Mytilus edulis: one gene and its partners. The protein of the gene in region 1 purifies or fractionates together with the protein of each later gene. This does not show direct contact. Links are inferred from orthologs where the notes say so. Each region holds a gene or a part of one and is shown in the gene's direction. Other genes may lie near its edges. The genes, in order: serine/threonine-protein kinase PLK1-like, heat shock factor protein-like, syntaxin-binding protein 4-like and anaphase-promoting complex subunit 1-like.

What was found.
Region 2: the proteins of serine/threonine-protein kinase PLK1-like (region 1) and heat shock factor protein-like purify together in Homo sapiens (affinity purification with western blotting; 3 studies listed by BioGRID and IntAct, with this or other methods). This does not show direct contact. The link is inferred for Mytilus edulis from reciprocal best matches to the Homo sapiens genes PLK1 and HSF1.
Region 3: the proteins of serine/threonine-protein kinase PLK1-like (region 1) and syntaxin-binding protein 4-like purify together in Homo sapiens (affinity purification with mass spectrometry; 3 studies listed by BioGRID and IntAct, counting the BioPlex papers as one, with this or other methods). This does not show direct contact. The link is inferred for Mytilus edulis from reciprocal best matches to the Homo sapiens genes PLK1 and STXBP4.
Region 4: the proteins of serine/threonine-protein kinase PLK1-like (region 1) and anaphase-promoting complex subunit 1-like purify together in Homo sapiens (affinity purification with mass spectrometry; 3 studies listed by BioGRID and IntAct, with this or other methods). This does not show direct contact. The link is inferred for Mytilus edulis from reciprocal best matches to the Homo sapiens genes PLK1 and ANAPC1.

What each region holds. Positions count from the first base shown.
Region 1 is NC_092350.1:30,189,801-30,196,815, reverse strand, and holds the start of serine/threonine-protein kinase PLK1-like, read left to right. Parts: upstream 1-4,012; 5' UTR 4,013-4,190; coding exon 4,191-4,295; intron 4,296-6,748; coding exon 6,749-6,856; intron 6,857-7,015. Other genes in the region: PIN2/TERF1-interacting telomerase inhibitor 1-like, read right to left, coding at 244-349, 771-927, 1,718-1,840, 3,716-3,788. UniProt on the Homo sapiens protein: Serine/threonine-protein kinase that performs several important functions throughout M phase of the cell cycle, including the regulation of centrosome maturation and spindle assembly, the removal of cohesins from chromosome arms, the inactivation of anaphase-promoting complex/cyclosome (APC/C) inhibitors, and the regulation of mitotic exit and cytokinesis.
Region 2 is NC_092348.1:32,811,077-32,818,185, forward strand, and holds the start of heat shock factor protein-like, read left to right. Parts: upstream 1-4,105; 5' UTR 4,106-4,145; coding exon 4,146-4,271; intron 4,272-7,044; coding exon 7,045-7,109. UniProt on the Homo sapiens protein: Functions as a stress-inducible and DNA-binding transcription factor that plays a central role in the transcriptional activation of the heat shock response (HSR), leading to the expression of a large class of molecular chaperones, heat shock proteins (HSPs), that protect cells from cellular insult damage.
Region 3 is NC_092351.1:86,283,207-86,290,814, reverse strand, and holds the start of syntaxin-binding protein 4-like, read left to right. Parts: upstream 1-4,597; 5' UTR 4,598-4,647; intron 4,648-7,608. Other genes in the region: ubiquitin-like protein 3, read right to left, coding at 2,060-2,168, 4,248-4,277. UniProt on the Homo sapiens protein: Plays a role in the translocation of transport vesicles from the cytoplasm to the plasma membrane. Inhibits the translocation of SLC2A4 from intracellular vesicles to the plasma membrane by STX4A binding and preventing the interaction between STX4A and VAMP2.
Region 4 is NC_092346.1:58,240,491-58,248,073, reverse strand, and holds the start of anaphase-promoting complex subunit 1-like, read left to right. Parts: upstream 1-4,560; 5' UTR 4,561-4,758; intron 4,759-7,583. UniProt on the Homo sapiens protein: Component of the anaphase promoting complex/cyclosome (APC/C), a cell cycle-regulated E3 ubiquitin ligase that controls progression through mitosis and the G1 phase of the cell cycle.

The sequences.
Region 1 (7,015 bases):
TAATGAACAAGTGTAATAAACTAAGTTGATGCGAGTACAACTTCATGGTAAACTACCTTGACCAAACACTTAGTAAGGGACAGAAAGATAGACCAGAAATTATAATGCCCCCCCCCCCCCCCCCCTAATATTGTTTGTGGCATATAAAACCTCTCTTTATGTACATTTCATTCATTCTGAGATCTAGATAGTTTTCTTATTTAAACATTTCAATTTATGTAGAATTTGGAAATTGATTCTAACCGAGACTACGGTATCCTCTGTTTTTGTTGTACGTCTACCAAATATACAATCAAGGTCTTGACTGGATTTTGCAGAAAGGTCTTTACCTTTTGTAAACTTCTGGTAACTGAAATATTTTAAGATAAATCACTGAAAAAGTAGAGAGCATGATATCATTTACTAATGGAAAATTGTACACATTTTAGTATGTTTGCCAGTTACATGTATCTACAAAGTTGTTATAAATACAAATGTAAATATTACAAATTAGTTTTTCATATGTACACATTACATCTGGTACTAATGAAGTTGTAAATTCAATCATGTATATGGTTCGTGTTGAGAAATTACTTTATGAAATGTAATAGATTTTCTGAACAATGTTACAAGCTGTAGGTGTATTATAATCAAACAAATGATGATTCATAAAAATCAAGATTGTAAAGACAAGAAACAAACTTATGATGTCTAATAAATAGAAATAGACAATATCTTTAAACAAGCAAGATTATAAAATTATTTCTTAGCTTATGAACAAACAAACTTACTGTACACGACTTTTAGATGTTTTTGATCTGTTTTCAAGACTGGATACCTTTTCAGTATCAATCTGTGTATTAGATTGATTAAGGTTAGCTAGGAGAGCATTGAAGTCGTCCTGATGTGCTATCCAGTTATCTACTTGACTTTTAGAACATCCAAGACCTTAAAAATAAACATTGCAATAGATATCAAATTAATATATATAAATAGATATCTGTGTTGACTTGAGTTATCATTGATATGTTCATAATTATAAATTAACTGTTAACTAAACTGAATTTTTGAAATCAAAGGCTTTTCTACCTCAGGAATAGATTACCTTAACTGTATTTGGCAATTTTTTTAGGAATTTTGGTTCTAAATGTTTTAAACTTCGTACTTTATTTGGCCTTTTTAAAAAATTTTGATTCGAGCGTCAATTTTTAGTTTTTGATTTATTTTCGTGTGTTTAATTTTGGCAATTTCATTGGAGGCACCAAAAAAGCCAAAATAAAACTACAACCAAAATAACCCAATTTAAGGTATTTGTAATTATGTACTTTGCAGACCAAGTTTTTTCTTGTTAGAAAAGTATTTTTCCGCAGGTTTTGGTGTAACTATATGTTCAGTGTACTGGCAGTATGAATGTCTAAGTTGTTTTTGTACTTGACGTTTGAGTTGCTTATATATATGTTTATATGTTTTTTTCATCTCTGGGTGTTCAATAGACTCGGGGACTAGTTGGTTAAGTTTTGTTTTTAATTCTTGCCAAGGTTCATCAACAAAATATGTTTTTAGATTTTCTTATATTATATTATTTAAGTTATTTACTTCTTTGTTTATTGTGCCCAAGTTTGCCTTGTTGTAAAATGGTACAGTTCTTGGTGTCTATTTTAGCTAAATAATACAGAACATCAAAGATTTTCATCTTTCAGTTCATATCATATAACTAACAGACAGAATAAATACTAACCATGATTGTCATTTTTCAGAGATACTTTTACATGATCTGTTAGCCCATCTTCGTTTGCCCCAAGTCCCTTTCCTTTAGACCATCCAAACTTCTCCAACATTTTCTGTCCAAATTTAGATTCATCTGAAATATTTCAAAAAGTTTTATGTTAATTGTGATTTTTGAAATCTAAAATCAAATTCCTCATTTTCCAGATCAGTGATATTGTTTTTCTTAAATTACTGGAGAATAAAGGCTTTTTCCCCTGGAGAAGAATCCCAATTTGAAAATAAAATGGCTTAAAATTATTCCCAAAAAGACAATTTTTTTCCCAAACAGTGCAGTCAAGTAGTAATTGTGCATGAATACAAACTGAAAAACACTCATTTAAACATTTTTCATGCCTTAAAATTACTATATGTACAGATTTCAGGGTCTATTTATGTATCATCACTGACAATAAGGGCTTTTATTTCAAATGAGGGTTTACCTCTTAAAAGGGGATCTGCAAATTGAAGTTCCAGTCAAATTCATGGTTTATTACAAATTTCCCAATTTGATACAAATGATGCATATCTTCCCAATAAAAAAGGGTAGAGGTAGTTATGAAAAAAGCCAACAATATCACTGCAGATGCAATTTGAGTGTATCTTGATTATGGTTCATCAAAAGGATTGACAAATGTTACCCTCATGTGAAGTCAAGGTCATAAAACATCCCCTAGCTATAGTAGACAAATATGTTTATACCACAAAATCTACTCTCAAGAGGACAGATATGCATTGCATTTAAGAAAGTCTACCCAGTTAAACAGTTTAAATTCCCTATTACTATGGTGAATATTTCTATTGCCACTCAATTGTGCATGTCAATCAAAACATTCCATTTAATTCATTATTTTATGGGAATTCCAACTTGAAACTACTTTGAAGGAACAGTAAAATACACACAGTAAAATCCTGTTCAGTTTTTAGTTAAACTGGTTTCAAATTTGATTCAAAATTCATCAACTGCTCCAGTTGAACTGGGGTCATTTGATGGGAAACTCGCAACAGGCCTTGAGACAGACAGAAAGAAATTTACTTTAAGAGACATAAAATTTCCACAAAAAAGCACCAATTGGAGGATCACGTATTAACTCAGCTCATAACGAACTAAGACTAAATAAAATATCTCATAAAATTAGCCTGTAAGTTACATGTATATTGCATACTCCAACTACTAGAAGAATTTTATTGTGATGGACAATGTTGTTCATCTTATTTGAAATAAATTATTTGTTAACATATTTTATATTATAAAAACTTTTTTTCTTTAACAGATTACATGAAAGCAATAAGCAAGGATGTTAACAAAATAAATAGATGAACATTAAGACTTATGTCAGTTAATTTAAAGTATTGAAAAGCCATCACTGCCGTAAGTATGGTAAGGGTCAAAGTTAATAAAGAATTTTAATTTAAATAAAAACAGCTGAATACAGCAATGTGTACAGTTGGACACCTTTTCAAATACCTTTAAAATAATTAATGAAAAACGTAGTGTACACACCAATTTAATTACCTTATTACTGACAGTTGTACTATTGACACATGTTCTATCAACCATAAAACTAATTAAGAAGATAACTACGTGTTGTCACATGACTGTTTAAGAACCAAATATCAACTGACTTTACAACTACTGGGGTGCCTATGTGTGTTATTGGCACATGTTTGTTAGTGTACTTTGGGTTAAATTTGAATGCAAACTATGATTATATTATAGTTTATTCAGATCATGATATATATACAATCAATTCGTGCCCAAACAGAATACTGTCCAGCATACAAAATGACAGTAACAAGAGATACAAATGTACAGTATACAAAATAAGTCATCATAACTTTAGTTCAACTTCAGGAACACGTGGTAAATAACAGTTCATTTTTATTTTGCTTCCCGTACTTCTCTTTATTTTGACAATGTGGTAATGAAAGAGTGACATATATAGACAATTCTTCTGTAAACCCCCAATACCTTTACTCCAGTTTGAACCTCTTGGGTCAATAGATAGCTTTTGTTTTCTTCGAGGTTCTGCAAGCATTGACATTTTTGTGTATTGCAATCTTCAACTTCCGGTATTATTTTTAGATATCAGAATTTTGATTGGTCTACTTCAATACTATTCAACCAATTAAATAGTATGAATAGTCGTCTGTGTATTGCATGGAAAATATCCGAGGTATTCCAAAAGGTGACAAGAAACAACATGTCCACCTGGCGGAGCCAATTGACCAATCAAAAGTGCGGTTTTAAGATCTGACCAATCAAATTATTGTTGATTTGAATACCTTCCGAAGTACTCAAATTTGAAATTCGTCTGTGAAGTTGAATGGAGACTACGATATTTTTGAAAAATAGAGACAACTCTTTTTAAAATACTACTGCGGTGAAATAATCTCTCATGCTTTTTTCTTTTACCTGACCTACGCATCCAAATAGAAATATCAAAATGTCTAGCGCGAGAAGAGAAGAGATGAAAAAAGATATAATTCCTGACATGGTTGTGGATCCAAGCTCAGGGAAACGATATTTGAAAGGAAGATTTCTCGGAAAGGTAACACATTTGAATCTAAATAAAAAATTCTATGCCTTTTACTTACATATTAGAATTTCAATAAAAGAGTTTACTCAATATATACATTTTTAAAAGTAATTTGATACCTTTACCTTATTATTTTATTGATTATGCAAGTTATGACATGTCTAAGATTTGTGTTATGATAGTATAACAAATAAAAAATACACAAATTTCAAAATTATTCATCTATGAAAAGTCAATTTTAAAAATGTTTCGCGTGATTTCAATATAAGGAAACAAACCTGATAATTATTTTACCTTTCTTTGTATAATTTTCTAAGCTGAGATTTTGGCAAAGATCCAGAATTTTATATGTTTAACATTGTTAACATACAGCTGATTTCTTTATGCTAAAAAAAAATTAATACACATATTTGGAAATCTGTCCTGGTTGACCCGAGATTCTGTCCCATTGAACTTTTGACCTCATACAACAATCGCTTTTCCATTGTGGCTTCAGATTTTTTTGTATCATGGCATGGTCATTATAATTTGTGCAATCCAGTAATGGTGGAAAATATCCATAAGGTGTATCGGATATCAATCACATCTTTAACCTAGTAGAATTTGAATGTAAGGAGGTTGAGGATTGGGGGAACATCCTAAACCATATCCAAAAGGCAAAACAGTCTGCCAAACTTTTAGGTTTTGTTTGACTGAAAAAGAAATTTGAAGTTTTTCCACTATATATTCACCTAAAAAATTTGAGGATGTCTGTCTGACCGAATGAATTTTTGTCTGACATTTTGTCAGTTAGACAGAGTTTGGAATACACTGCAAAATCGGGAAATTTACAGTGAAAAAACTGATCTCCACTCCAGATAATAATGAAGGTGTTCAAGATGTTTTGGGTATCAAATTTTAGGGATATAAAAATAAATTAGATATCAGATATTTGCTGTCATGGTACGAACATTAAGGTTAATCATTATTTGGCCCCAAGACACCATGGCTGAATTATTATTGGTTCACAGAAATATGTGATAAAAGGAAGCATTTAATTAATTTAGACAAATCATTAAGGTGACTGTTGGTAATACACAGTATTAAATTTGTGAGGAGAAGGCATTTTTGTTGGCAATGACTGGACATCTAAATAGTCTTGTAAAATTTTGTAGTAATCATATCATTATAGACATAGAAAATATTGGCATCACTAAGGAAATTTGATTGTTGTATGACTTCATAATTCCAGTGTGTCAAGTTTTCAGTGAACTTGTTGCGCACAGATTTCCAAAATAGCAATATACAAAATTTGAAAAGTAACATTATGTACATTAAACCTGTGTTTAGCTTGCCATCAATAAATTATGCTTGCAGTGCACTACATTTTGTATAAATATTATATGTCTGTGCTAAAAACAGCCACCCTCATAATGATTTAAGATATATATATCCAGTGCAAAAATAAAGATTTATAGTTCTATGGGTAAAATATGGATTAGATATTTAAATGAAATTAATCCATTAAGAGCTTGTTTTTTACAAATCAGATTAACATGATTAACTAAACAAGATTTGTCTGCAATTAATTAAATGTCTATTCAGATCAATGGTTAGTTTTTGATTCACTGTACTTCTATAGACCAAAATAAAATATGTGTTTCTTGTAACTATTAAGAAATTGTGTTGTCTTCACCCCTTGTACATACATTGTATGGTGAAGTACAGTTCTGCTCTGCAAAAAAAAAGTTTACTATTATTTTTAATAGTATTTTTTTCCTAACATGCTGATAAGTTTTTTTTTTTATATATTTGTAACTTATAATTAGATATATATTTAGTGCTATATATAAAAAAGAAGATGTTGTATGATTGCCAATAAGACAACTATCCACAAAAGACCAAAATGACACAGACATTAACAACTATAGGTCACTGTACGGCCTTCAACAATGAGCAAAGCCCATACCGCATAGTCAGCTATAAAAGACCCCAATAAGACAATGTAAAACAATTCAAACGAGAAAACTAACGGCCTTACTTAGCTTTCTTACTGAAGATTTAATTAATTCCCAAAAATGTGGCTATGAAGATAAAAAAAAAAACGGACTAACTGCTGTACACTGTACTATCAAGTTGTATTATTGCCAATGAGACAATTTTTCATCAGAGTCCAAAGGATGTAAACAACTAAAGGGCGCACAACTGCCTTAAATCATGAAAAAGGGGGGGGGGGGGGGTATGATACAATATAGTATAAATAAAGCTTTTAAAGTTTCATATATAACAGTAAACTTAATCAATAAATGTGAAACAAATTCTTAGTATTAAACAAACATCTTGATATCATTTATGCTAAAAACAAATATAGCAGACAGCACCAAGGAATTATAGGTCCTGAATTATAGTTTTCCCCTTTTTACAGACACTGCAAAACATGAAGTGGAAGACACTGTAAATTTAAATGTTTTGTACCTTATTTACAGGGAGGATTTGCTAAATGCTACGAGTTGACAGATGTGGAAACAAAAGAACTATTTGCTGGGAAGGTTGTTCCCAAATCACTGCTGGTTAAACAACATCAGAAGGACAAGGTACTTTATATAATTATGTTTATTTACTCAATTATAAAAAAGCCAATAGAAATAATTGAAGTGTTTTGCATTTGTATCAAGAGTTCACTTGCATTGTGATCAGGCCCTTGCGAGTGAGAGGGATCAATTGCAAGGAAAGTCTAACTATTCAGGTTAGTT
Region 2 (7,109 bases), on another chromosome or scaffold:
TGTCATACACATGACTGATATCCAAGGCCGTATATTTTGCCGTTTTATTTTTATTTTTACTTATTATATTAACGTGCTTTAGTGTTTTTTCTGTAGACTTACATGATTTACCAATTAGCAAATACAGTCTTTTAAGCTACAAAGAAAATCATTGAAAACCATAGTGTTGCATTAGCGGAACCCCTACTTGGAAATCGCTTTTTTTTCTTTTTTTTTATAAAGAAAATTCTGCAACTGCTGAGACGCCTGCTGAATCTAAGGATATTCCAACTTTATTTCCACATCTGTATCTAGTGCTTAAATAAAAACCGAAACCCACCTAGTTCTTTTCCTTTTACGAAAACAAGAAATCTACGGGTTGAAAAGATGTTTCAAATATGCGTGGCTGCACTATTTCCAATGGATTGTCCCTTCAACTACGCAGGACGGAGTTTGCTGCAAATTTTGCAATTTGTTCGCTACTGACCACAACCTCGTACAGTTTGTTAAGAAACCAGTTCAGAACTGGATAAAAGCAAATGATGAATGAAAATCTCAGCACAATTAGACTTTACTCACACACATGAAAAGCCAGCTATAGTGGAATAGACGCAAGGGCTGATACAGCTGAGCAATTGCAAAAATGGGCGGATAAGATCTGTGATTAAATAACAAAAGTAATTTTTAAATAGCCATAGAAGATGCGGTATGAGTGCCAATGAGACAACTCTCCATCCAAGTCACAATTCTGGGACTTATCATTTTTTACCTGGGAAAGGGAGGGGGGCTGGTCAAAATACAGGGGGTCAAGTTTTTTTCTGTATGTGGAAAAGTGGGGTTCAAATTTTGTTTATAAATTCAAAGTGGAGGATCAATATTTTATGCATATGGAAATGAGAGTTTACATACTTAAAGTTAAAGAGACAAAATGTCAAGAAGAACAATCAAATGGAAAAATAGTTTTACCACCATTCATGTACTGTAACAATTAAGTAAAACAACACATGACTTTGGTGATGTAGGAATCTGCAATTTTGTGTCATTTTGTTCCATATAAAATGCATTGGCGCTTCATAACACGAATAATCATGTCGTTATATTCAGCCACTCACGTCAATCACTACATTAACAAGCATTACTTCATAGTTTTGTTATAATCACCTGGACAGTTTGAGAGAAGTGAAGTGTAAATCTTAAGGAAATCTAACAGCGATTTGTGCAAAGTTGTGTCAAACAATTCAAATCACGCCGCATCATGTATAATATAGTGTAGAGTAATAAATTCTCCAATAAATGATCAAATATTCATCTAATCTGCATAAAAACTGTTAAATGTTGACACAAAGATGATTCTGAGACGATGAACATCACTTATATACCTTTATGTTTTCATTATAAGATCCTTTTGGGTCCATTTTTATACCTCTCATTCCCTCAAAATTTGTACATTTTAGGCTAATAATATTTTTTTTGGAGTTACATTCACACATTTATGAATGAAATGTGACAATTATGAGTATTTGATTGTTCAAGCTGAAAGCATAAACTATCCACTCAAGGGATCGAGATTTCAATAACGTAAAACTTAAGTTTACGCAGCGTTCTTGCGAGAGCCAGAGTTACTTAGGAACAAGCTTTCTTTAATAGCCCAATATAGGAGATAAGGAGGAAAAGGTCAGAAAAAGCTTCCAAAAGCACTGGCTTGCTCTACCTAATGATATTCATGGAAGAGTCCTAGGCTATTTCATGGCAATGTTCCTTCAAATATGTTTTTGGACTCAATCCACTAAGAATATTTCATGTTTGCAATATTTCCGTAAAATAATATGATAAGTGTTTTGCATGTTTTAAAACATTTGGGTATGTTTAATAGTGGGGATCAGATTCTTTTAAATATTTGTATGAGGGGATCAAATAAAAATCTCTCCCCCCCCCCCGCTTTAAGCCCTGGATACGCGTCTGTTTTGTTAGTGTATTTTAAGGTAGATTTATCCTTTTTCCTGGGGGGGGGGAATAAATGTCAAAAGATAGAATGTTTTAGTGATTTGCAAAAATGTAGTGTGTATCTTGCTGTTTCAAAATAAAATATAATAAAAAAAGTATGGGTCACGCATAAGGGGGGTTAGCTGTTAAATTCATGTTCATTGATTTGATTTAAATTATCTTATTTTTTTAAATTTACATACTAAAACGTTTTTTCCAAATTATACTGAAAAGTCTAAACAATTTAAGGTGCATGTACCTGATAGTCCTGATACTTTATTCATTAATTATAACCGCATTCAGTCGAGTGTATTTTATTCTATTTATTGACGTCATCTAATTAACCATCTTGGTGACCTCCGAACACTGTCCGACAGTCATATTACACGATATCAACAGTTGATGGTAAATATAAATACTAGATATCAAACACTAGCAAATTGAACTCGTAACTTATGGCCCTTAATTCACGGTAAGATTATGTAAAGATTGTACATACACTTTTGTGGGAACAGAAAGACAATTACGTTAAGAAGCAACATATAAATGCAACATGAACAAAAAAAAGATAGCACCAGAAAATACAAAGAAAAATGATGGAAACGGTGGAAGACTTCCATTTCTTATTATAGATTAAAAATCTGAGACATCAATCGCGATAAATAATATAGAATCACATATTATGTTAAACATTTCTTCTGTGTACATCATCATAGTACTTTTACAATTTCATATTAGATATCAAGTCGACGACATGGGTATCTTTCAAGTTGGATGTAGAAAATGCATAACCTCCGATTTTATTATTTTTTTTACCACGGACGGAAAACATATCAATCTATTAGTTCACTAATTTTCGTGTCTACCCTTCCATTATGTGACTCAAGAAAAAATTCCAAAAAAAGGGTAACAATTGTATCGAAAAGAGAAAATCGAGTGCACCTTTTTATGTTAGGGCGTGTTTGAGTTGAACATTTTGTCTCGATATCGTACAAAGCAAGAATATTTCATACATCGTCTCGCTTCAGTTTCTATCATTTTTACATATCAAAGCTACAGGTTGACTTTATAACATAAGAAAATCACAGTGCTAAAAAATGAAATATATGGGTCAAGTGAAATACCTCTCTAATGAATCACAAAAACAGATTCGAATAGCTATTTTTTTTACTAAAAGTACTTGACGACAGTCTTTCAAGTTGGATGATGAAAATGCATATCTTCGAAAAAAAATTATATTTTTTTTGTGTGTGATAACTAGGGTTTATAGTCTTGACTTCAACCACTAAAAAAATCTAGTCTGCCCTTCCACGAAATATTTAATTAATTTTTTTTTAAATGTTTATGAATTTTCGAAAATTCCACCTGACAACCGATCAGACAATAGTTTTAAGTTGAATCAATGCAGACAAGATCATTAACTGATGCCCATTTTCTAGTTGATACATTTGTCTTTTAAAATACAACTGGCATATCAGGATCGTAATGGTGCAACCGATGTGGATAAATTTATCGGTTTCCAAGAGCAAAATTGGCAGAGACGGTCATCCCTACAATGAGGGGGGATAGGAGGGGTCCTGATCCCGAAATCCCGGACTTAAAAAAACGAAATCCCGAGGTCCCGAATTTAAATAAAGTAAATCCCGACGTCCCGAAATCCGAAAAAAAGGATTCCCGGATCCCGAGAGGGTCAATCCCGAAATCCCGAGCTTAAAAACACCCGATCCCGGAGTCCCGATAAAGGTCCTATCCCCCCTCTACAATGGCTTCCATTTCTACGATTGTGAAAATGAACTGGCGTAATGGGGAGATAATTTTGACGAAGTTGAATCCTGACTGTATTAGAAACTGTTTGTTTGACGATCAGATTATAATATTTTTAATCAAGGCCGACCGGCCGACAATCGGTGAAATGCAGACTTCGGTAAAGTTCGGACAGTTGACAAGATCACATTAAATGAACCCTTTAATCTAAATTAAAACATTGCACCATGTAAATTCTGGATCATATAATAACAGCTCATCTTAGCAAAAATCAATTATTTTTGTTTTTGTTTTATATGAATATCTAGAAATTATGTTATAGAACTTTTTGAAAGAAAAAGTGCCGAAATATATTCCATCTTCGTATAGTGTTGATTCGATCGGCACATGCGCTAACAGAAAAAATAACTGAATTCGTGATGTCGGATATGTACATTGTGAATAACACTTCTCAAAACATGCCTAGCACTGTTCCAGCCTTTCTAACAAAGCTATGGACACTTGTAGAAAACCCTATGGTCGATGATTTGATTTGTTGGGGCGAGGTAAACTACAACAACATGACATAATCAATAAATACATAAAAAAGGGGGAGGGTACTATTAGGATCAAATTCAGTCTACTTAGTTTACCTGTTGATTTAAAAAGTTGTTGTCCGTCAACGTAATAACGAAAAAAAAACCCACTGAAATTGAGACATGTGTGATATAATGATCTTTATTTGATATATGATTAATTTTCCAACAAAACTGAAAAAGTTATATCCTACCGTAGTCTAAAATCGGTCATCTTGTCAGTTTGTTAGGTATTTGTGTTTGAACTTAACACACGGGGAAACTACACATTGACGTCACTACGCTACTTCCTGAATAGAAAAACACTGCAGAATACGTTTTTTCTGCTCTTTTGAATAAAAAAACATTTCTAAAGGTAAGTTTTCATTGTTGTTCTCAATTATGGCTAAAAAATGCCAATTTTCTATAGTCGCCGTCATGTAAAATTGGCACCATGTTTTTGTCAAAATTTTCTTAAATATCGACCGCGTTTATTAAAGATCATGTTTTTGAATTAGCGTAATCAAATATCATTCCAAAAATCAACTACTGTCCTACCTTTTATTGTGTTTGCACTGTATAATCCTGACCTTCACATAATCCAAGATTAATTTGTATGGTGGAATCCGACATAGTTATTACCGGAAGTATTCCACGTGCTCTCCATTTTCTTGTGTCTCTCGGAGCTTTTCGTCATCTTTACGTAAAAAGCGCGGGAAATTGTATCATCAATGACAATGATATTACCGGAGAGTAACGAATGTTATGGAATAAGGGACCCTCATAGAAACCAAGATGGCGGTTATACAATGTAAATAATCTTGAAAAATGTGAAGGTCAGGATTATACAGTGCAAACACAATAAAAGGTAGGACAGTAGTGGATATTTGGACAGGATTTTACTTCAGCTAAAAGAAAAACACCATCTTGAGTAAACGCGGCTGATATTTAAAAAAATTTTAACAAAAAACAGGGTGCCAATTTTACGTGACGTGGACTATAATGCCCGTTTCAATCCTGACTTTCGAATTCTAAAAACATTCTAGAACTTCACAAAATCCCACTTCCGGCCTCAATTGCTTTGTGTGTCATTCCATTCAGCGTCATCAATCTTGTGGCAGGCAATATAAGTCAAGCAAATTGTATTTTTAAGAATTTCAAAATGACATGCTCCCTACGTCTTTCGCAATTTTCCCGCGAAAAAAGCCCAACCAAAATGAAAGGAAAACTATATGAAAAAACGATGTCCATGCCATAATTTTGGTCAGGAATATAAAGTAGGTTAATAAAAAACAATTTACATTTATTTTTCATAGAATTTTTTTTTTATTCATTATAAAAGATCGATATTCTGACCATCATGACTGTAAATGGTAAATATTCATACAAAATTCCATTGATGAGGATGGCAAAAAATGAGGTTTCCTGTTGAATAAAACCCCAAATTATTGCAAACTACATGTATTTTAAAGCAATATCCCACAAACAAATAACGTAATTGCGGTAGACTGAAAAATCACCTACATTTGTAATTGACAGTAGAGCAATTTGATTGGGTAGAACGATTTTACATCACGTGATTTTGACGCCATTGGAATTTGAATGTAAACAAAGCAAGGTCAGTAGGTTCAGTATGGGGCAGCATCGTACATTGAGTTACTGAGAAACAATTATGAGTTACCAAGCTTGACAATGCATGGTAATAAAAAATCAAAGCTAAGTCTACAGAAAAAAATATAAAAAAATGTCCTTAGGATAACGACTTACCAACATTCCAGGATAAGTTATATATATCCTTATAAATTATTCTTGACATGTAGTGCATGGGTCACCACACCAGTGTAAAAAGACGATATTATAGTCCTAAGATTCCTTACTGCTCTTAAGAAGCATGAGGGAGAAGTTTGTGTCACCCTTGATTTTCAATAAAATTATAACACAGACTGACAGAGGTCCCGATTTCATGTCCCGGTGGAGACCTGCGATTTTGCAAGAAGAATCATGCTCTCTGGTTACATTGGCGACCATTGAGCTTGATTCTAATATCCACTTGTCATTAATTAATTATTACCTGTTAAACCAGGTGAATTTCAAGGAACTGCAACAAAGACACATGACCCAATTTATCCAACTCCAAGTTCAAAATTCAGGTTTATTTGATTGCTATCTTCTCTTTTAAATGAAAAGACAGGATTGTTTGCTCAACTTGTTCAAACAGAGAACCTATTTTCAATTTAATTTTATTAAAAGAAGGGATCTTGCGATTCGAAGGCATATAGCTCCTGTTTATGTGCAGCAAGATTTGCTTACTCTTCAGTTACAACTTAGGTTACTCGCTGCATTTGGTGGGGTGAGGGTTGCTCAGTCTTTGGTTTTCTATGTTTGTGTTTTTTTTATGTACAATGATGCAATCGACATCTCAATCCCTTTTGAATTTAGATTCTGAAGTAAAATGCTAGTTTGCTGTCCTGAGAATCACTTAATTAATCCCAATTAAATCTATTTAGGAAAATCTTTGCCACCTATAAAATGTACCTGGTCTCAAATCTGTGCCTTTTACATCTACAGCACCACACCGTACACCTGACACTAGCATTTGTTTTACTCTTGTGCTAAGGAGGAAAAAACACTTCCCTGGACCCTGGAATCAAATGACTTGGAATGCTGGTAATGTGTTGATGTTTTCTGTTTAATTGATTATATAATCTTGTTAGTTTTACTGTGTTTTTTTCTGTGATGCTAACATGTTGTATTTTTATTTCAGAATGGAACCAGTTTCCATGTTTATGATCAAGGCAGATTTGCAAAAGACATTCTACCACATTACTT
Region 3 (7,608 bases), on another chromosome or scaffold:
CTGGCAATGTCTTTCTGTGTCATGTGTGTGTTTCAACTGACAATGTCTTTCTGTGGCATGTGTGTGTTTCATCTGGCAATGTCTTTCTGTGGCATGTGTGTGTTTCAACTGGCAATGTCTGTCTGTGTCATGTGTGTGTTTCATCGGACAATGTATTTCTGTGGCATGTGTGTGTTTCAACTGACAATGTCTTTCTGTGTCATGTGTGTGTTTCAACTGGCAATGTCTTTCTGTGTCATGTGTGTGTTTCAACTGACAATGTCTTTCTGTGGCATATGTGTGTTTCAACTGGCAATGTCTTTCTGTGGCATGTGTGTGTTTCAACTGGTAATGTCTGTCCGTGTCATGTGTGTGTTTCATCGGACAATGTATTTCTGTGGCATGTGTGTGTTTCAACTGACAATGTCTTTCTGTGTCATGTGTGTGTTTCAACTGGCAATGTCTTTCTGTGTCATGTGTGTGTTTCAACTGACAATGTCTTTCCGTGTCATGTGTGTGTTTCATCGGACAATGCATTTCTGTGGCATGTGTGTGTTTCAACTGACAATGTCTTTCTGTGTCATGTTTGTGTTTCATCTGACAATGTCTTTCTGTGTCAAGTGTGTGTTTCATCTGACAATGTCTTTCTGTGTCATGTGTGTGTTTCAACTGACAATGTCTTTCTGTGGCATGTGTGTGTTTCATCTGGCAATGTCTTTCTGTGGCATGTGTGTGTTTCAACTGGCAATGTCTGTCCGTGTCATGTGTGTGTTTCATCGGACAATGTATTTTTGTGGCATGTGTGTGTTTCAACTGACAATGTCTTTCTGTGTCATGTGTGTGTTTCAACTGGCAATTTCTTTCTGTGTCATGTGTGTGTTTCAACTGACAATGTCTTTCCGTGTCATGTGTGTGTTTCATCGGACAATGTATTTCTGTGGCATGTGTGTGTTTCAACTGACAATGTCTTTCTGTGTCATGTTTGTGTTTCATCTGACAATGTCTTTCTGTGTCAAGTGTGTGTTTCATCTGACAATGTCTTTCTGTGTCATGTATGTTTCAACTGGTAATGTCTTTCCGTGTCATGTGTGTGTTTCATTGGACAATGTCTTTCTGTGTCATGTGTGTGTTTCAACTGACAATGTCCTTCTGTGTCATGTGTGTGATTTAACTGGCAATGTCTTTCTGTGTCATGAGTGTGTTTCAACTGACAATGTCATTCTGTGTCATGTGTGTGATTTAACTGGCAATGTCTTTCTGTGTCATGTGTGTGTTTCAACTAGCATTGTCTTTCTGTGTGTTTAACTTCAGTCTTCACCCAGGCTGGTAAAATTGCTCTCAGGCCTGTAAAAATCAGACCTACAGGCCAACAGAATCTAACTAAAAATTTTCAAAAATTGAGATGCGGGTCTGTAGATTTAGCAGTTCAGCGTGAAGACTGTAACTTACATGACTTACCAATGTCTCGATGTAAATAACAACAGAAATATACCTATATGCATATGACAGGGTCATAAATCAGGACACGAACACACACAATTTTAAAATAAATATCGGAACACCCTGAATAGATATTTAAGACTGTTCATCTTATGTGTTCTTTGTAAAATTTCTTGTAAATTTTTGTGTAAATCAATGAATAAAAGGAATCTGTTACATGTATGAAGGAGGAACAGTTACCAACTGAAAGGACTGCATAGCCAGTCAAGGTCATTAAAAACTTTCATCATCAAAGGAACAGTTGTCATTTTTGCTTGTACTGTACATCATTTACATATTGTTATATTTCAAATTTAATCTAGGTGTGGATTTAAGATTTTATGTTGGGGGAAACTCCAATCATTTAGCAGATAAGAGTGTTAAATATTAACATAAAATTGGATTTGATTTTAACATGTTTAATAATGAATTACATTTTCATCTGTTATAAAGTGGTGCCCCCTAGCATGATTCTTCATTTTATTTATTGTTAGGACCTTCGCAGCCATTACCATTATACATGTTATACTTAAAATTGTAAACATTCACTTTATTATAGTATACACATAAAATTCTATAAACGTGATAAATATGAACATACCTGTTGGCCAGTTTGTATAAACATGATCGGTTATATCTGCCGCTGAATCATTCGGTAAAAACAAAAATTCTTTTGTCTTGCCACTAACCAGTATAAGTCTAAGGTTTATCTGAAATTGAAAATACAAATATTGCATTAAAATTACTTGACTTAATTATAAGCTAAAGTGGTGCTGTAGAAGGAAGGATTTGGGTCTATATATATACATGATATATATACATGTACATATATGTTATTACCAAGAAAACCCCTAGTAGAGAGGCCAGGCCTATATAATAACAAGAAATTATAGTGTACAATTGACCTATTTGTAAAGATCTTGTCAAGACGAGCATTTTGAGCCCTAGATTTTTTAGCTTGTCTGTCGAGTCCAAAATTTAGTCATTTCTAATTGTTTGTGTGACAAGTTCGCCAATGTTTGACATATCTATGTTATAATGTCTTGCTGATCATTTCTGACATTGAAAGTTACACTTTATCAATCCTGTCTATTACATGTTAGTATTACATGTAGTATGATTAGTGAAAATCAAATTATCGTCAATAATCTAGGAAATGGTTAAATTCATTAGACTTTGAAGGGAAATAACTCAGAACTGTCCTCTTTTCCTTAACTGTGACAACATTGTCATTGAATTTATACTTACATGTGTACATGTACATTGTACAGTGAATCACTGATTGTACATAATTGCAACATAATTGTCACATGCGAGGTAGGATTGTATATGTGCAACATATTTGTCACATGTGAAGCAAGATTTGCTTTCCCTAAGAAGCAACGGCCATAACCCCAGGTTTATGGAGGGGTTCATGTTGCTCAATCTTTAGTAAAACAATTTATGGAAAGTGTATAAAAAAATGTTGTTTGTATTTTGCCATGGACATGATGGAGTAGTCAGTTCGTTTTCTGTTTAACTTTACCCTCTTCTTCCAGTCATTTAGAGGCCACCATCCACTGGTTGACTATCCTACCACATTTTTGGAGTGCACAGAATCACAGTCTTTTCACCCCAAAACATAGTCCCGCCCTTTCACTTTTGCACCTACATGACCTAGAGCCTGTTTGCACACTTTTAATCAACACAATCAATGGTTTTGTGTTTTTCTCAGTGTAAAATGCTATAAATATCTTTTTTTCCCATTATTTCGAAATAAAGTTAGATTCTGACAGGTTTCTTTGTCAGGTCTATAATAATTATTGTTAACATTATTTTTGGAAAATGTTTAACATAATTCATCAAAAACAGGTGATTCTTATGTCCTCTAAAAGAAAGTGTACATTTTATCTTCACGCACCGGAAAAACTTGGTCAATTATGTGTGTCATTATGATGTCATTTATCAGTATCAGATAGAGGGGATCGCCTGTATCCCTGCACTATTAATATTCATCAAGCGTCTTAGTGATCATCATTGTGCAGGATAAACTATAAATAATGTTTGTTGTGTAAGTACTTAATCACAATTCCCGTATGACAGCAGTTCAGATTGACAATTATGAGATTTTAATTTGCCAAATAATTCGTGCAATATCTAGTATTATAGTTTTTCAACCACTCACTCAACATTCATGACATTAGAACAGAAGTGACGATGCCCCTAAACACAGGGATGATGTTCACTAAAACCAGAGTTTTTGACGAAAATGCACCACTAATGATGTATATTGTCTCTTTGAAACATGTAACATACATATGTTATCACAGTTCTTTGATTTTTTAGTCCACAATAACAAATGTATGTTATTTTCCTGTAATAACCCTATCATTTTGCCTATAGAATGATAGAGTTACATCCCTGACTGATGTGTACTTGAATAAAATTTTGGTGCATGCATGCAATTTGGGTGCTAGGAGTAGGATGCGAACAGACCTAGGGGGCAAACGTGTGTGGTGCGAACATGTTTTAGTGGCAACTGACCGGATATTGAGTGCATGCAAAAAATAACAAAAACTGGGTGAAATTTTTGTCAGTATATGAGCTTGAATTTCCCTTCACGGATATCGGGGGAATGCAATAAAAGATAAATAGTTACTAGTTGTATGAAATGTTGATTTTCTATAAAATCGACAATCTTGATTTAATTTAACTCATTTGCAGGGTTCATAAAGTTCACTGTTCAGCAAAGAAAAGGACACATTTTTTTGCATGCATAGCTAACCTACTATATTTTTAACAAAAGTTACCTTATCCACAGGTACGCCTCTTGATCCCATATTCTAACAAAACAAATATATGAAGCGTGTTTTTATTTTATTTAACTTGTTGAGGAAACAGGATAGCAAAGTGTCAGTGACAGTGGTTTTGTTGTGACACCGTTTTGTTTATTTTTCAGCTTGCGATTGTTTTGTCATCATTTTGATTTCTAAGTAGACAGTACATTTCTGGGAGACTTAGTTTAAGCTTATTGAAATATATAATCATAAATAGTTCCAAATCATCCTTGCTTTGTAGTAGATCTTTGTTTGAGCCGATAAACAACTTCTCTCAGCTGTTATGGCGGCCGTTAGATGAATCTCGGGAAAATTAGCAATTTGCGCCTGCGTAGTAGGGTGATACTTGTTTCCGGTTCGAAAAAATAACTTTGTAAGTTCTAATGTGAGGGGGGATAGGACCTTTATCGGGACTCCGGGATCGGGTGTTTTTAAGCTCGGGATTTCGGGATTTACTCCTTCGGGATCCGGGAATTCTTTTTTTCAAATTTCGGGATCCGGGATTTAACTTTATTTAAATTCGGGACCTCGGGATTTCGTGTTTTTAAGCCCGTGATTTCGGGATCAGGACCCCTCCTACCCCCCCCCTAATGTTGATATGGTTTAAAGTTTATATTACATATACCTTGTTTATTTGCAGCTATTTTATTCAAAGAATAATTCAAAAAAACGGTTTAGGTTGCATCACAAACTGTATTCATGAGATATTGTCAAGTTTTATCACATACCATAAATTTATTTTACCTGTCCATAATTTTTTGGGGGCAGGCACACAGGCACTTGTTTCTATCCATACGAAGGTCGACTATATAGTAAGACTTACTATACAAATCCTTGACAGTAGTCCTAATAATTATGACATCTTGAAAGTCTATTATATTTTTTCTTTGACGCCCCACATCGCAGGAATGCATCAAAGCAAAAAATTAACATAGCCTTCCAAGACGTCATAATTATTTGGACTACATGTAGGTTGACAGCAGCATGCTTCATGTTTACAATTTTATAACATGTTCTTGCATAGTCACTTTACTACCGTTCAGATCTATAACCTGTTAGTGTTAATCATAAACAGTCAGGGGACTTACTTAAATGAGTGATTTTCTAAATCACTGATTCAAGTAACATTATTTCCACAAAGGTTGGAAGTTAGAGTTGTCTTTAGCTTTCTTTAATAATCACCTATTTAAGTAGTACAAATTAATCACTAGAAGAAGTGATTTAATTTTATTGTAGCTTTAAATATAGAATACTGATGATCCAGAGACTAATTATGTTTCTAAAATTATCAGAATCAACATCTGTGTTGGTAGGATGACCAGGTCATTTCAGGTGATGACCTTGTACTGAATCTAGAATAATGACATAAAAATCACTTGTTTAAGTATCATACCTCAATTTCCTTCCCAAAAATCACATCTTTAAGTATCATTATTTTAAATGTGTTTTATGAATTTATTTCAATCTGAATCATCAATTGCTTCGTCTGTTGAAACCTTTACGTTTTTTTCTCAGTACCGTTTTGTTTTAATAAAGGGATGTAACACCACTACTAACCGTGTATGAAATAAGCCTGCCTCCCTACTACCTTATATGGAATATAAAAGGAGGTAACACCACTACTAACCATGTATGAAATAAGCCCCGCCTCCATACTACCTTACTAACTGTGCACATTTCTGAAAAATTTGCTAAAATAAAGGACTTGTACACATGGTACATGAATGATATCATAATAAAACTTATCAATTCAATCTTCTAAATCATTAACTAATTCATAAATATTTGTTGGATTTCGAGGTTAAAGTCAATTTGATGAACAAATTACAATTTTATAAATGACTGTATACAAACTTTGGCAAAACCAAGAAATTAGATATCACCTCAATCCACGAAGGTACCCAAGCAAATAAATAAATCCTCAGACTATATATATATATATATGTCATGTATGTTAAAGTATTATCATGATCATGTGACTAAGATTACCTGAAAACAGCTTTGTGTGTCTGTTCTGTGTTGCCTCCATCTGGTATTATCCACTGAACTATTACTTGTCGTACATAATATGCGATCCATAAGGTAGATTTAGAATAAGTATAGATTTTTGTCGAGCCTTCGACTTTAGTCGAAAAAGCGAGACTAAGCGATCCTACATTCCGTCGGCGTCGGCGTCGTCGGCGGCGTCAACAAATATTCACTCTGTGGTTAAAGTTTTTGAAATTTTAATAACTTTCTTAAACTATACTGGATTTCTACCAAACTTTGACAGAAGCTTGTTTATGATCATAAGATAGTATCCAGAAGTAAATTTTGTAAAAATAAAATTCCATTTTTTCCGTATTTTACTATAAATGGACTTAGTTTTTTCTGCGGGGAAACAAAACATTCACTCTGTGGTTAAAGTTTTTAGAATTTTAATAACTTTCTCAAACTATCCTGGGTTTGTACCAAACTTGGACAGAAGCTTGTTTATGATCATAAGATAATATCCAGAAGTAAATTTTGTAAAAATAAAATTCCATTTTTTCCGTATTTTACTTATAAATGGACTTAGTTTTTTCTGCGGGGAAACATTACATTCACTCTGTGGTTAAAGTTTTTAGAATTTTAATAACTTTCTTTAACTATCCTGGGTTTGTACCAAACTTGGACAGAAGCTTGTTTATGATCATAAGATAGTATCCAGAAGAAAATTTTGTAAAAATAAAATTCAATTTTTTCCGTATTTTACTTATAAATGGACTTAGTTTTTTCTGCAGGGAACCATTACATTCACTCTGTGGTTAAAGTTTTTAAAATTTAAATAACTTTCTTAAACTATCCTGGGTTTGTACCAAACTTGGAAATAACCTTATTTATGATCATAAGATTGTATCCAGAAGTAAAGTTTGTAAAAAGATTACTCTGTTTTTTTCTGTAATTTACTTTCAAATGGACTTAGATTTTCTTACAATCATAAAATAGTAACAAGAGGAATATTTTTATTGATTTTTTTCCTCATTGTTGTTGAGCCTGTGATTTACAGCAAAAATAGGCGAGACACTGGGTTCCGCGGAACCCTTACAAATTTTTGGTAATAGTAACACCTTCATTTATTGCTCATCAGCTCTCATGCTCCTTGATATCAAGCTAGCTTGTCCAATCAGAAAAAATCTTTTTAGCCTTACTCTTTTGACTCGGCTTACCTTTTCCATTTGTTTTCGGTCTCCACTGATTTTCTCAATATTTGAAATATATTGATTTTATTATTTTTTTATAGTTTTTCACGTGTCTAATTAACATGTCTAACATGTCATGCATGTTGTACATGTCTCAAAGCTAATTTTGACAG
Region 4 (7,583 bases), on another chromosome or scaffold:
TTCATATGTAAAAGCCATTATTTACAATGTCTCACAACAGAGCTTGGAATAAACATCACAACTGGTAATCCTACATATTCTTTAACATCATTTTCTTTGGATGAAATTTTACAAAATCACAAATCTGTTCTTCTTTCTTTTGGTATCATATCAAATAAATCGAAGAAAATTTACCATCATTATACTGGATACCAAAACTTCACAAAACTCCATATAAAGAACGATACATAGCTGGATCATCAAAATATTCGACTAAACATCTTTGTAAATTACAGACTACTATTCTTTCTACAGTAAAAGATGGCCTTCAAAAATATTGTGATGATATATATTCTACCAACGGTGTTACCCAGACGTGGCTTCTCAAAAATTCTAAAGATCTACTGAATAATCTTAGATCACAAAATCTGCAATTTTGTAGCAACGTTAAGACTTTTGATTTTTCTACGCTTTACATTATTATTCCCCATGCTCAATTGAAAGATCGACTTCACCATCTCAATAAACAGAGCTTTTTCTATAAAAGTGGGAATCGTAGATACAAATTTCTTGTTTCGGGTTATAATAATTCTTATTTTGTGAAGAACCACAATGAAACTACCAGAAAAGATATTGAAGGTGATACTATCAAAATGCTGGACTTTTTGATCGACAATATATTTGTTGAGTTTGGAGGGTTGATAATTCAATAGACAGTCGGCATTCCAATGGCTACTTATGGTGCATCCCTACTGGTCGATTAGTTTTTGTACTCGTATGAAGCAGAATTCATTCAGAACCTTCTAAAAACAAAAACAAAAAGCACCTTGCAAAATACTTTCAGATATATTGATGATGTCCTATCACTGAATAACCCATATTTCAGTCAATACTTACATATCATATATCCAGGTGAACTTGAAATTAAGGATACTGCTGATACTAGAAGGACTGCTTCATACCTTGATCTTTTTCTCAATATTGAAACAGATGGACAACTTCACACTAAAATCTATGACAAACGGGACGATTTCAACTTCCCAATTATCAATTACCCATTTCTCAGCAATAACACACCCTCTGTCCCTTCGTATGGTGTTTACATAATTCAGTTAATAGGTTATGCTCGTGCATGTTCACATTAAACGGACTTCATATACAGGAGTGTGCTCCTTACGCAGAAACTGCACCAACAAAATGAGGAGAAACGATTAAAATGACTCTCCGTAAATTTTATGGACACCATCACGAATTGGTTGATCCATACGATGTGTCTCTGTATAAACTAACTAGGGACAGTTTTCCACGTCTTTGTTTGCCATTTACGTCGTCTTGTCTTTTTAAAAGAACCGAACGTGACCTATTCCCGAATTTGACTGTTTTGCTGAGTGTGATTTCGCATTACTATAAAACGTCTCAGGGTACTTTGATGTCAAAAATTAATTTATTTAATTATGATGTTGTATTTGTAATTCAGATCGGATATTGTTAAATGTGTTGTCGTTTGTAGTTGTAATTCTATTTTTTTAATATGTTATTCGTATGTAAAGATAATTAATCACCCAGATCATTATAAGAGGTTAGTTTGGCAATTTAAGACATACCGACATAGCGAGATAATACAATTAATTATCTAATTACTAACACAATTCTATATTAATAGAATTGTAATTGTTACATCATACATCAAATACCATAAATACAAACCTGATTTTGAATAATATGAAAAAAAAATGAAATTACATGTGATGTCACTTTTGCTGTGACGTCACTTTTGTAGCGTTATCATCGTGTGACAATGCAGGAGTGGTGATACCCCACCTACGATAGTAGAGGGGCATTATGTTTCTGGTCTGTGCGTCTGTCCGTCTGTCCCGCTTCAAGTTAAAGTTTTGGTTTTTCTAATTTTAATGTCAAATTAGAGTTTTTACCCCAAATTCTCGGTTCACTGAACAAATAAAATGATAGTTCACCCACCATTTTATATTAAAATGCCCTGTACCAAATCAGGAAAATTGCAGTTTTTATCTTATAGTTAGTTTCTGTGTGTGTTTTGTCGATTTTTTTGTTTGTTGCACTGCAGTGTTTCTGTTGTTTCGTTGTTTTTCCCTTATAGTTGATGTGTTTACCTCAGTTTTGGTTTGTCTCTAAATCGATTACTGACTTTCGAACAGCGGTATTCTACTGTTGCCTTTATTTAATGGACTTCTCGTGTTGATACGCCTGTTTACGGGACTTATTACGGTGAACCATTGTTGACAATGATTATCTAAGTTTATCTGATTTTATCTGTAAAATGTAATAAAACGAGCAAATGTAATACATCGAGTGAACTGGTTGATAGATTTGACAAATCGAATAGAATGGAATTGTGATAATTTAGGAACTCGTCAACCAGTTAACAGGATAAAAAGGTCCGCATAGTTGAGGGACTGTCAATCAGTCAACATGATCACAGGGATAGGTCACAGTTGACCAAATTAACCTTCAACATTATTGGAATATGTGTTGTGGTACCTGTCTGTACAATAGATTAATGTTTAAATTGCCAGAAGTTCTAATGACATTTTAGTTAGGTTGATTATTAAGGTCGGTAGTATCGTTTAAAACGTTATTACACATCGAGGAATACATGCACAAAGTTATATATGAGTTCCATCGCATAGAAGAGCATACGCACAGTTTCGGTGTGGTGTTGCTTCGATCAGCCTAGAGACTGGACGATTTGAGAGGCTACCTTTGCAACAACGGACCTACGAAACCTGTAAAAACCTTATTGAAACTGAGGAACATGTTTTGTTGAGAGTGTCCGTTGTACGATGATCTGCGAAATGAACTTTTTAAAATTATTTTGTCAGAACACTCAAACGTTTTAAACTTTTCTAATCTGGATAAATTGTCTATTGTTCTAGCCAGTAACTGTGATAGTATTATTATTTATAGTGCCAAAATCTGCAAATTTATTTTAGATAGAAGACGTCGTAATTTCATTGGCAGGAACCATACATCTGTATGCATTACTTGATCAGCATATCTCTTTTTATGTGCCATAGATAATTTCGATGAAAAGCTGAATTTTCAATTGACTAAGAGCTGGTGTTATTCTGATGCTGGAATTTTAAATGACCAAAGTTTCACGGTAGTTCAATGCAGACTGAAAGCGGCCCTTTTCTCGAGCTGCTTCCATTTTTTTTACCCAAGCACTTTTGGAAAGGAACTTCCTTTTTCCATGTATATACATCTGTGTTTTTTTTTTGTTTTTTTTTTTAATGTTTTCTAAAGTTAATATTCCTTGATAATTTGACTTATTTTCGCGTATTAGATGTTTCCTGACTCGTATCTATACGATTTTACAATTACACTATTTGTATTTGATGTAAAACCGTATAGATAAGACATAGAACACACGAAATACGTGAAGATGAGATTAAGGAATATATGTTAAAAAAATTAAAACACATAAAATGTCCAGTTATCCACCAGATTGTTTTTAGCTCACCTGGCCATGCAGCAAACATACAAAATGTCCAGTAAAGTAAGCTCTACAAATAAGTCGGAATTATCAAATTGTTAATTGGTCCCTTTAAAGTCAATTTTTCACAATTTATCGTAAATTTTTGCTATCTTTTACAATAATCTTTCCCTCTGAAACTACTTGGCCAAGTGGCTTTCATGTTGATCCGGCCCCACGTCGATCCGGCCAAACGTCGATCTGGCCCCAAGAAAAATATTTTTATAAGGTATAAAAATAAAGATATATATTAATTGTAATTTCATAAATGTTTATGAATTTTGTTATAATGTAAAAGGTGAACTGCAGTACGGTAAAAAAGGCCTTTGAAATATTAATTGTCTTTTAATTACATGAGTATAAAACAACTAGGTTGATTATGTTTTCATTACAAGTTTTCAAGATTATTGTGTATAGTTATATTAAAAACCAGAGACATATATAATACAATATGTATTATATGTCTCTGTAAAAACGTATATAACAGAATTTAAGACAATCAACATAAATCAACAGGTGTCAGTCTGGGTTGCCCACTTTTAATAGAGAACAGTTGATTGATTTGCCGAATCCTTTTTGAAAATGTGCATTCAATGTAATTGTTTATCCTTATCATTTATTGTGTCTATAGATGGAGATAACTGTAACTTACAGCAACACTGTTCAGTAAAGTAAGATCTACAAACAAGGCAGAATCAAGTCACCATCACCAAAATAGAGAATATTGTTATGAATTCTATTCTTGTCTCTATATTAATGCTATAGAGTGTCCGGCCTTTGTTTAATATGCACTGGATCACAATGACATAGACCAGAGACATATATACACATGTATATATGTCTCTGCATAGACCAAGGTGAGCGACCCATGCTGTTTAGAGCCTCAAGTTTATTATTATTACTAACATGCATGAGAACCAAACAAGGCATGTTTGTTCACTGATAGATTCCATTTTATTAAAATTACTGACCATATCGTCAAAATTCGTAGCGCTTATTTCGACTATTTCGCCCTTTATATTTTACAGCTAAATCCGGATGTGTTGCATAGTTGATCGGGATTTGTTTTTGTATATTACATTTGTGTTTTCCGGTTTAATAATTTGGCAGAATTTTTCGAACAGCAAAGAATTTCATCTGAGCATGATACATTAGTGCTTATCGCCTATAAAATAGTGTTTATATAAAGCACAAGTAAAATCAAACCACTATAAAGGAACTGTGGCTGGATGTATAAAGACGAATTGAAAACCAATGCTTTTTTACTGGTAAATTTATGAATATAATGTTTACCATGTTCAATAATAAAATAGACAGGCTAACCAACTTTATAATAATACTACAAAAAAATAGAACTTAAAAAAGACCATTACAAACTAAACAATGAAGCACACAACTGTACAAGTGAACTTTGCAAGACTGTGGGAGCAATCGCAATAGGCATGATGAAGACATAATCTTTCAATCAGTTTAATTGAGGTCTGGAGCTAGCATGTCAGTTAACTGCTAGTAGTCTGTTGTTATTTATGTATTATTGTCATTTTATTTATTTTCTTTTGTTACATCTTTTGACATCGGACCCTGAATTCTCTTGAACTGAATTTTAATGTGTGTATTGTTATGCGTTTACTTTTCTACATTGGCTAGAGGTATAGGGGGAGGGTTGAGATCTCATAAATATGTTTAACCCCGCCGCAATTTTGCGCCTGTCCCAAGTTAGGATCCTCTGGCCTTTGTTCGTCTTGTATGATTTTCAATTTTAGTTTCTTGTGTATAATTCAGAGTTTAGTATGACGTCCATTATCACTTTACTAGTACACATATTTTTAGGGGCCAGATGAAGGACACCTACGGGTGCGGGAATTCTCGCTACATTGAAGACCCATTGGTGTCCTTCGGTTGTTGTCTGCTCTATGGTCGGGTTGTTGTCGCTTTGACACATTCCCCATTTCCTTTCTCAATTTTATTGCCAGTCAGGGGACTTACTTAAAAAAGTGATTTTCTAAATCACTGATTCAAGTAACATTATTTCCATAAAGGTTGGAAGTTAGAGTTGTCTTTCTTTAATAATCACCTATTTAAGTAGTACAAATTAATCACTAGAAGAAGTGATTTAATATTAGTGGAGCTTTAAATATAGAATACTAATAATCCAGGGACTAATTATGTTTCTAAACTTATCAGAACCAACATCTGTGTTGTCTAGGATGACCAGGTCATTTCAGGTGATGACCTTGTACTGAATCTAGGATAATGACATAAAAATCACTTGTTTAAGTATCAGACCTCAATTTCCTTCCCAAAAATCACTTCTTTAAGTATCATTCTTTTAATAACCCCAACTAATTTCAACACCCCCGAACAGTGAAATTTTTATCGCGAACAGTAGAATTTTATTACCTTGAACTTCACAGGAAAATTACTCCCACTGCTGTGAAAAATCTTTTAAGAAAGTATCAGTTCATTATGTAAAGCCATTATTATAGCATTTTTTCAACTAAAATAGAATTTTCAGGTAAATGATAGCATCAAAGACATAAACCTTGCTACTCAAAAGAAGCAAAAAGTTCATATTTTTTAATTTTACTAATTTAAAGATGTTATTTAAACCTATGTGTTTAAAAGTTTGAAAAAACTACAAAATCCCATTTGTGACAAAACCTCGAATTTGCTACTCAAATAAGTGATTTAAAAATCACTTATTTCAGTAAGTCCCCTGACTGATTGCCATCTGTTGACCAACCTGCAGAAAGTGTTATCAATCTGACTGAAAACGATGTTCAATTTTATATGTACTAATTACTACACCAACCAAAAGGATCACTTACATGACCCAGTCAGGGCTCACGCTACCAGGCGACTTGGGCGAAGAAGTCGCCTTCCCGACCGTCACTTCGCTTTCCCCGACCCCCAAAAGCGATAACAAGTCGCCCTGTTCTTGACGAAAGTCGCTTTTAGTCGCTTCCGTCATCGGACATTTTCAATTTTTTACTGATAATTAAAGAAATTCAGACATAAACTATTCATTATCTTTAGAAAAGAGGTTGAAGCATTGTCTTCGCAGTGTGTATCAGGTTATTTGATAAAAATACAACTTTTTATCACTTCGTGCATTTTCGCAAGTTCCGGTGCTTGTTACTAGAAAAAACGTACATCAACCTAAATTTCGGCAGCAAAATAAGTTTGTTACTTCATTTAAACGTGATAAAAGTTGCCTCCAGTAAATGTTTAATCCATTTATTGCATTAAAACCGTCATGTTCCTTTCCAAATAACTTGTCAAACATCGTTTATTTTTGTAAATTTTCTTGCATTCGTCCGCCATTGACCGATTTCTAAACTACACATCTGAACCGGACCAGCTATGACCGAAATCCGTACTTTTACAATAATTACTACGGACGCACGGATGGAACAGCTGACAGAAGAATATTGATCCCAAAGGGAAAAATTACGCATCCCACACGCATTAAGAGACTTTTGGTTACATCTAATTGATTGGTGTATATAATTCCCTATATTTTTTATGAATGTTTCAAACTATTGATTAAAGTTGCTTAACTCTGAGACTGTTATACTAATATCAATATATTATGGCCCAGCTTAATAACTTTTATATTTTTTTTTTATGAGAAACACTGAATTTCATACACAAGATAATTTTTAATTAAATTGTAATTGATATAATTTCTTTACATTTTTTAAAATAAATTTTTTTTTTAGTGCTAGATATTTAGTTGGTAGTTTCTCACAAGAACCTTAGTAAAACTTTAACAACTTTTAATTTCAAATGTTACTTTAATTGTAATTTTTTACTCATATGAATTGATCAACATAAAAAGAACATTATTTACATATGGCCCTTTATACTATTGTAAAATCCAAACAGATTGTAGCGCACCCGCGCGAATGAGCACTTCTCTTTCAAATCTCACCACTTCTCCCTATCAGTTTCAAAAAGAGAAGTCACTTCTCCCTATAATTCTGAAGTAGTGTGAGCCCTGCCCAGTAACAAATAAATCTCAACTACACAAATGCAGAATCATTGACAATGCACAGTTTGTACTACATCATTCCTGCCAACCCTCCTGTTT